Linked DNA regions of Drosophila melanogaster. The protein of the gene in region 2 interacts with the protein of the main gene of each other region in a pairwise test. Each region holds a gene or a part of one and is shown on either strand. Other genes may lie near its edges.

Region 1 (4,366 bases), on a different chromosome or scaffold from region 2:
AATATTTAAAAAATAAGTAAAAATGGAATCATGAATAAAATATAGTCAAATTAGAATAGATTTTGAGAGATATTGAATGAAATCAATTATTTCAGCATGCCCTGAATTAATTTATTATTTCCGAAGTAAATATATAGGTATAAGTGCAATTAAATAATAGAATAGCAATCGGTGCTCGAATTAAGTTGTAAACTATAACACACATATGCTGAGAACTCAGCAGGTGAGAGGAAATAGCAAATTAGCTGGCGGCATTCTTGCGTTCGATGGTGCATAAAATATGCAAAACATTTGGATGTTATTAAGTTGCACTAACGCAACTGGAGCCTGACGGATCGCAATACCATTGGGAATTGATTTAGAGCCCCAATCCCCTAATGAACCAGTGCCACCCCCACTTGCACATGGTTTTCCGGCTTAGCCAGCACCAGCACACCAGGCTGATTTCATTTTCATCGGAATTTTGCACAATTGGCCAAGATTACTGTCAAATGAGCGAAACCCGTTTGAGGTCTTTCCTTGTTGGCCGCATAGAATCGTAACAGAAACTCGAAACTTGTTTTGCACGTACGAAAGTCGGTTGTGTAATGCCGCATTTAGTGGGCGTTCACCACCCGAGGTGTTTAGATAAATCTGCTGGAAATTAAATAAGCGGCCACTGGCCGAAAAACAAAAGACTGCAGGACACGAACTTGGTTTCCTTCATATATTGTTTTTACTCGATTATAGTACAAATTGCTCAGACGTCCCAAGGCCCAAATTAACATAGTTTCTAAATTAATTTTGATCATTTTTCAACATCATCGAAGTTTATTGACTTCTCTTTTCTTGGGAAGACTTAAATGGAAAGATTAAAGTTTAATGGGAAAGTCACAGAGAAAAAGGCCGACATTTCTTGAGTTTTTTCATATTTCAAAAATATGCAAATGATATTTTGAATATATTTTGTAATTTAAATCAGCAATACCCATTGGGCAGCAGCGATTAATTTTCTCTGTGTAGGATTATAAATTAATAACAAACAGTACGCATATAGGAAGTACGATACAATTGCTCTTAAACATATCACACGAGAGTTTGATGGAGTCAAGAAAAGAGTAGGGGTTCTAGTTGTGATAGGGAAAGTTGGAAAAGAAGAAAGAGGATCCCTACTAATGAAGAAGATGCATAATGTCTGAGTGGAGGACAGTGGGGCTTATACCTTGTTGAAGGAGTAGGTGAAGCCATCGGGCGTGCGGTTCAGGGACAGTTTGCCGGGTGGCGAAAAGCGGTGTGGGTTGGGGGTGGTGGTGGTGTAGTACGCCTGCTGGGGTTGCGGCTGCTGATACTGGGGTTGGGGCTGCTGATACTGAGGCTGGTACTGCTGCTGCGGCTGCACGGGCTGTGGGTTGTAGGCGGGCTGGGGAGCAGGACGGTACTGCGGCTGGGCAGCGGGCTGCTGGTAGCTCTGCTGGTTCTGTCCGAAAGAGGGATCGTTGTAGCGGGGATCGTAGGAACCATCATCTCCGTAGTCATTGCTGCGGAAACTGGCCTGCGGCTGGGGAGCGGGAGCCTGGTACTGCTGCGGCTGGTACTGCTGCTGTGGCTGATATCCCGCTGTGGGCACGGGCTGTGGTGGAGCAGGTGGTGCCTGGGGCAAGTGATCTCCAGAAGCTTGGAAACTATTTCGGAATAAAAACCAAATTAATACAAGTTCGGGTATTTGTTCTATAGAAAGTGCTTACCCATTTTTGCCAGCTGTGTACGAAATAGTACGCCTCTGGCCCGTGGGATCCAGATAGCTGTAGCTGCCATGACGTGTTCCATCCGCATCCGTCTCCTCCTTGAAGTTGATGCCATCCTCCTGCTCATAGGCAGCTCCGAACTTTCCATCTCCGGACAGATAACGCTGCTCACTGATGATGGCCGCCGTTTTGGGATCCTGGTGATAGTGCTGGCTGGAAGCCAGGGCCACCAAGGTGGTCAGTGCAAGCTGTCAAGAATTCAAAATTTATTGTACAATCAAGTATTTGTGTGCTGCCAATTCCTTAATCTGAGTCATTATCACTTAACGTATTATAAGGTAAGACTTTCACTATTTAATGTGTACTCTAGAATATCCTGGTTTGAATTGACACTTTTGTCCGTCAGTTTGATTACTTTTCTCTTAATAGCTTTTAAATTGTTCGAACAGCCTTGAATAAAACACAACTCACAAATCTGAACATTTTGGTGTGGGGAATATCCTTGTCAAGCGTAAACTGCACACAATTTTATCTTCTTCTCGAGGGGGATTCACACGCGCCTTTACGCTTACAAGTCGGTTAAGAGGGAAATGGGACCGACGGCAACGGATTTGTGGAGTTAACTGCCTTCCGCAACGGTGCCGCCCAAGCTTTTTATAGTCCGAGCGGGAACCTTGGATCGCTGGATCGCCGATCGACTCCGCCTAGGCACTCCAAGCTATGTAATTGTGTTGGTACTATTAACGTTAACGGCAACAACAAGTCGGCCAAGTCGGCGTAACAATAACAAGAATCGAGCTAAGTGCTCCAATAAGTCAACTTTGGGCGAGTATTGGTATCGCGGTCGTGTTGCCAAGTCGTTTTACCAGTTTCGATCTCTTTCGCTTGGAGCGCCAACTTTTGCTTTCTATATATACGAATATATGCTATATGCACTTAGTTCCACCGTTTCTGCCTGCACCAGGCCCAAGCCCAAGACGAAAATATTTTTTAATTATTTCAAAAGTTTTTCAGCTGTAATCCAGCCTCAGCGCAGAGGTATCCTCATCTGGGAGGGGATCTATCGAAACCAGGAATTACCAATTAGTTCTGCAGAGCATGATGCAATTTTAATGGCAATAGTTTAGTTTAAGAGTAGGAAAAAAGGAAAATGTATGGAAAATACAAATAAAACGGGATATAAAATAGATTGAATAATAGTATTGTATGCCAATAATGTTGGCCTAAGCTAAAAAACAGAAATAGAAAGTAACTACAACACCCTGTGGAAGAAATTGGCAAAAGCCTCGTCTTTATTGTCTTTTTGATTTTTCCAGTGTGAAAAGCCCGTGGAAACTGTCGATTGTGATGGATAACTGGGCGGTCGCCCTCTGCTGAAAATCCGAACATATCTTGGGAAATTCGCCAAATGAGCGTTGTTAACTTTTCACTCCCCTCTTCAAGTTGTAAAGTTGTAAAGCCGTTTGTTTGCCTTTTAGCTGGATTTGCGTTCTGCATGTGCATGGCCAAGTTGATTTATATCTAGATCGGACTGAAAAGCTGGACTTTGTGGTGTGGCCAAAAGCGCTTGGCAACAATCGCCAGTGTTACCGCAATGTGTTTGACTTGTTGACTCTGCGCTGGCTTCAATTATTTATTGTGTTTGAAATGTCTGGCATTGTTTGGGCTTGTTTATGGCCAAAGCAGTTGGCCGCCCACCCACATGCCACACGCCCACTCCCACGCCCCCCACTTTGCGTAATGTTTGCAGAGAACTTTTGGCATTATTTATGATCTAACAATGCAAACAGGTCTGCATCTCCAACTTTGGTTATTTGAAGTTTTATATCTAGAGTCAAATTAACATTACATTATCTATATCGATATTCATTTTAATTTTAAAGAATTTTTCTTAAGCCCTAAAATTGAACGTAAAGAGAATTAGAGCATTTATGTATGCAAATCGGGTTTTCATATTTTAATGAGCGATTTCCACACAGCGGCACACTCTTGCACACAAAGTAGCCGCATGGGGTCGAAGATTTCGAGTAGCAACACTCTCATTTACACCGTTATTTGCCCTTTTGCAAGTCGCCATCGTCTGAACATCGCCATCATCATTACCATCGTCATTATCCGGCGGTCTTGTTTGTGTGGCCAAAAGCGGAGAACGCCCTCTCGCAGCAGGAGGCGGTGATCAGAGCAGAAAGCGGTAAAAGGAGGAGGAAATTAAATCAGTTGACAAACAACAACAGGAAACTGCAGCTATGGCATATAGTTCCGGAATATATACTTGATGTGCGAACGCCATGGCAAGGAGGCGATGGCAAGAGCAGCGGATCCAAGGTGAGGCCGAGCAGTTGAGCATGGCCGGATTAGCTTGAGGGTGTGCCCATCGGAGGGTTGAAACGGTCTAGCTACAGTGATCACTCGGAAACTAGAAATTCTAGAATTTCCTCTACTTAAAATATCTATAGAAATGGAACTACAGTTATATCTAAAATATTTAAAGATCCTTTTCTCTTTATTCCTATAGCATTATCTATATTTCCAACTTTATTATTAATTAATTCAAAATATTTCATCTAGTTAAGTAACTAAATCCGTCATGCTCGAGCGGCCACTGTACTCCCGAAGCGTCCTTCTTCGCTGGCCTCTCTGCT
Region 2 (3,850 bases):
TTTAAATATATATTTACAGCAAGGGTATACAAGCATCGGTTTTGCCGAACCTGACTTCCTTACTTGTTTTGAATAACATTTGTTTTTCGGCAAAAAGTATGCAACATTTGTCTCAGGCAATCTATATAAAGTTAGCCACCACCCTCATGACCTCCCTAACCTGGTTTTGACCTAGAAAGTCTTAGTTTTAAAATTCATTAGAATAATCAAATAAATAATAATTACTATGTTATATCAACTATTATAATTCTCCCTATCATTTTTAGGATTAAAAATCTGTTAGTCTTAAGTAACCAAGACACATTGTAAAATAAAATAATTTAAGCAGATCAAATTAAGTTGCCGCATGGGTAACAGTGCGTTGATCAAATAATAAAAACATCATCGTAATAATGAAAAAAAAAAAAAAAAAAAAAAAAAAAATATAAAGTTAGCAGTTGTAATCAAATCCTATATTTTTAATAAATGAAATGAAACTCTTATCCGGCTAAAATATGTAAAATATATTATGATGACTCTTACATGCCATATGTAAAAACTTGTTTGCTCGTAAATCAACTATTTAAAAGATTTCTAGTTCATTTGACTTTTTATAGGTACTTAATGTGCTACCAACTATCTCAAGAGAGAGAGAGTGACGGTAGTAATAATATGTAAGTGTTAATAATAACTTAATGAAAAATAAAAATTTAAACAAATAAGTTTAATTGAGTTCCTTTAAATTTACATAATGATTTCGACATATAAAATAAATTTTTCTGTTCCTAAATAATGTTTAAAGGACACCTTTCATAACGTTTTTTCAAATGTTCATTTATTGCTTGTGATTACTTAAAGTTGTGACTTAAGAAGAGGCCGAAGTGCCGGAAGTGGCGGTGGTCGCCGGAGCAGCGGTTCCGGGTGCAGCGGTGGTCACAGCCACAGTGGTGTCAGCAGCGGCGGTGGACGATGCCACAACAGTGGTGCCATCAGTGACAGGAGCCCCGCTCGAGCTATCAACGGGGCTGGTGGAGGAGGGGGCGGCGGTGGAGGTGGTGGGCACTCCGTACTTCAGGCAGCTGTCCAACAGATCGTAGGTGGCAGCGGTATCCCGGACGTAGTTGCTCTCCGTGGTGTTGGTGCACTGGTACTCGGTGTCCTGGATGGCCTGGATGCCTGTGCTCAGGGAGTTGGCCGAACTGGCGGCATTGGTGGCGATGCCATAGATCACAGATACATCACTCTCGGCCTAAGGAAATAAAACGATACATTTTTTGTAACACATTAAGATTAGGTCTAAAAAAATTGACCTAGTCTCCGGCCTTTCACCATATGCGAATTACCTATACTTGTTGGGGCATATGAGTACTACTTGAACCCTAGTCTATGTTAACAACTATCATTCGGAAGATCCTTTAGCTTCAACTCACCGCATTGGCGTAGCACTTGAAGAAGTTGGTGGTATCGTTGTCGCTGTTGCAGGCGGTGAAGGCGCTGCATAGGCTGGTGACCTCCGCCTGGTAGATCTTCTGCTGCTTGTCGGCCTCGGCGGTCAGATTGGCGGTCTCCGCGTTGGCGGTGCTGATGCAGGCCTGATAGGAAGTGGAGAAGGTGGCAGCCACTTCGTTCAGCATGGGCAGATAGAGGTTGAAGCACTGGGTGGTCACATCAGCGGAAACGGTGGTATCCAAATTGCGGGCATGCACCAAATACTGGTCGAGGGCACTCTGCAGCTGCAGCTGAACATTGGGCTTGGCCTGTTCAGGAGAAAGCCAAACTGGTTATTGCCGGAATGGTGGCGAATATCAAATTATTTGTTACGTTGGCCGCCAGAACGCTGGCGAGGATTAGCACACTGCACAGAAGCTTCATGTTGGCGGTCGTTTTGTTGGCGGCTCGATCTTTACTGTCGCTGCCAAGGAAGGGGTACAAAACCTTTATATACGTGTTCGGCGGTGCGAATGATTGATCCGTTTGCCCGAAATGATATTTTTGCGAATATTTTCCTACTACCCACCGTCGATCAATTAGGTAGCATTAATGCGTATGCGTAATGCTCAGACCCACAAATTGCTTTGCATGTGCATTCCCATTCGATGCCACACACGTGTATTCAGGGTCAAAACCTGATAGTCAGAAGATAAGGTGGCCAGGAACCACCGGAAGGCCTAACTTGCGGTTCTTTGAACTTATCAAAGGTAATTTAGGAGCTTAGGGGTTTTGCGATCCGCAGAGTCGATTGCTGTAACCAATTGTTTCATACATCCCAATATCTATTGAACCATTTCGCATTACTATTTTTTTATCGAGTGACGTAATTAATTGCAAAGACCAACCAACTTTCGCCGGAAGTTTTCCTTTTAGCTAAAAGTATGCAACACTTTATACTCATCATCGAAGTGCACAGTTTGGGAGCTACTGGATCGTTATTTGCAGACGAACCCCAGCGATAAGAAGCCTATAAACAAACCATACATCACTGTCCGATTACATTACCAACTTTCGGTAACTTGACGCGGAAATTTTGCTTCGATTTCCGTCAGTGTTTTATGGTCATCAGTGCCATGAAAACAGCTATCATTCTGCTTATAGCCCTTGGGGTAAAGAAGTAATATCATTGTTATTTTTCAATAATTCCAACTACATTTCTAGGCATGTGCTGCTGAGCCTTCTCCCCGAACTCTAAACTCATTTTGCTCTTACTTAGACGATGGAAAGGAAACTGTTTCGAGTCTGGGCAACACCAAGAAGTGTTTTGCTCGTTACCTACCGGAACTGGAAAGTGAAGGGGCTACCTGGTCGCAAGGATATAATGCCTGTCAGAAGATTACCATTAACGAGCGGCTGTCCTTGCTAACGGATGCCACTGAGGCTCAGGAGGAGATTCGAGAGGCTGCCCTGGGCATATCATCATTTATTGATCAGTGTTTGGTCCTGACGGAGGCCGTGGACTTTTTCAACTGCTTTGCCAAAATGGTGAGTGGCTATGCGTTGATTCGAAACCTTCTTAACCTTTTTAGTTTCCCCCCTAGGCTAAGTTACAGTTGGCGAATGTCTACAGTATATCATTTAATGCCACCGAGCAGGCTTTAATCCTAAATAAGAAATTAAGTAGAATCGAATTGGAGCACTATCGCTGCACAAATCAAACCGAACAAAATTATGTCAAAGGAACCAATACAATCTTTCGATCTTTGGATCAGTGTCTGCAGCAAAATGATACACACTGAGTTGAACATTAATAAATATTTATTGTACTTCCATGTATAATATAACTTAACTATGGAAGTTATATATATATACTGACTTAATATATCTAAGATGGATCTGGCAATTAACAAATCCTAAAAGTTTTATTCTTATCAGCCAATAATATCAATTCTTGGTAAACTATAGTGATTTAGCTGCTTATATGATGGTGTTTATTCACCCTTAATCATTTTGTTAGTATAGTGACAGATAAGCGACGACTACTCGTTAAGCTCGTCGATTTCGGATCGACATTTAGTGAGTTCTCTGTGGGCCTGTCTTATGTCCTCCATGTACTTTTTTTGGGCATCGAGGCCGCAAAGCAGAAGCGCCCGATGCACTGCATCATAGTCCTCGTGAAGTCGTGTGTAAGCACTTGTGGCATTGTAATTTATTTCGGTCAGAATGTCGAGGTTATGGATTCCCTAAAAACAAATGGTTAAATTTGCACTTAAAATTTCGAACTCTACACACTTAATAGTCATCTTTAACATAATTCAAAAACTTACGTTCTTATTGATGCACTGAAAGTACTCCAGATCGTCAACCAATGTATCGCAGATTTGCATATTGCCGCACACCGCACTGGATCCCAACTCGATTTGGAGTCGCTCCAGTTCAA

The links. The genes of interacting proteins can lie anywhere in the genome.
Region 1: the proteins of CG5767 (region 2) and Cpr100A interact in a two-hybrid assay, tested with the Drosophila melanogaster proteins (one large-scale study listed by BioGRID).

What each region holds. Positions count from the first base shown.
Region 1 is NT_033777.3:30,865,513-30,869,878, reverse strand, and holds Cpr100A (cuticular protein 100A), read right to left. Parts: upstream 2,359-4,366; 5' UTR 2,208-2,358; coding exon 2,196-2,207; intron 1,973-2,195; coding exon 1,725-1,972; intron 1,662-1,724; coding exon 1,196-1,661; 3' UTR 695-1,195; downstream 1-694.
Region 2 is NT_033778.4:18,045,592-18,049,441, forward strand, and holds CG5767 (uncharacterized protein), read right to left. Parts: upstream 1,894-3,850; 5' UTR 1,852-1,893; coding exon 1,801-1,851; intron 1,737-1,800; coding exon 1,410-1,736; intron 1,229-1,409; coding exon 845-1,228; 3' UTR 795-844; downstream 1-794. Other genes in the region: CG34005 (uncharacterized protein), read left to right, coding at 2,544-2,579, 2,632-2,955, 3,012-3,209; CG14495 (uncharacterized protein), read right to left, coding at 3,450-3,653, 3,738-3,850.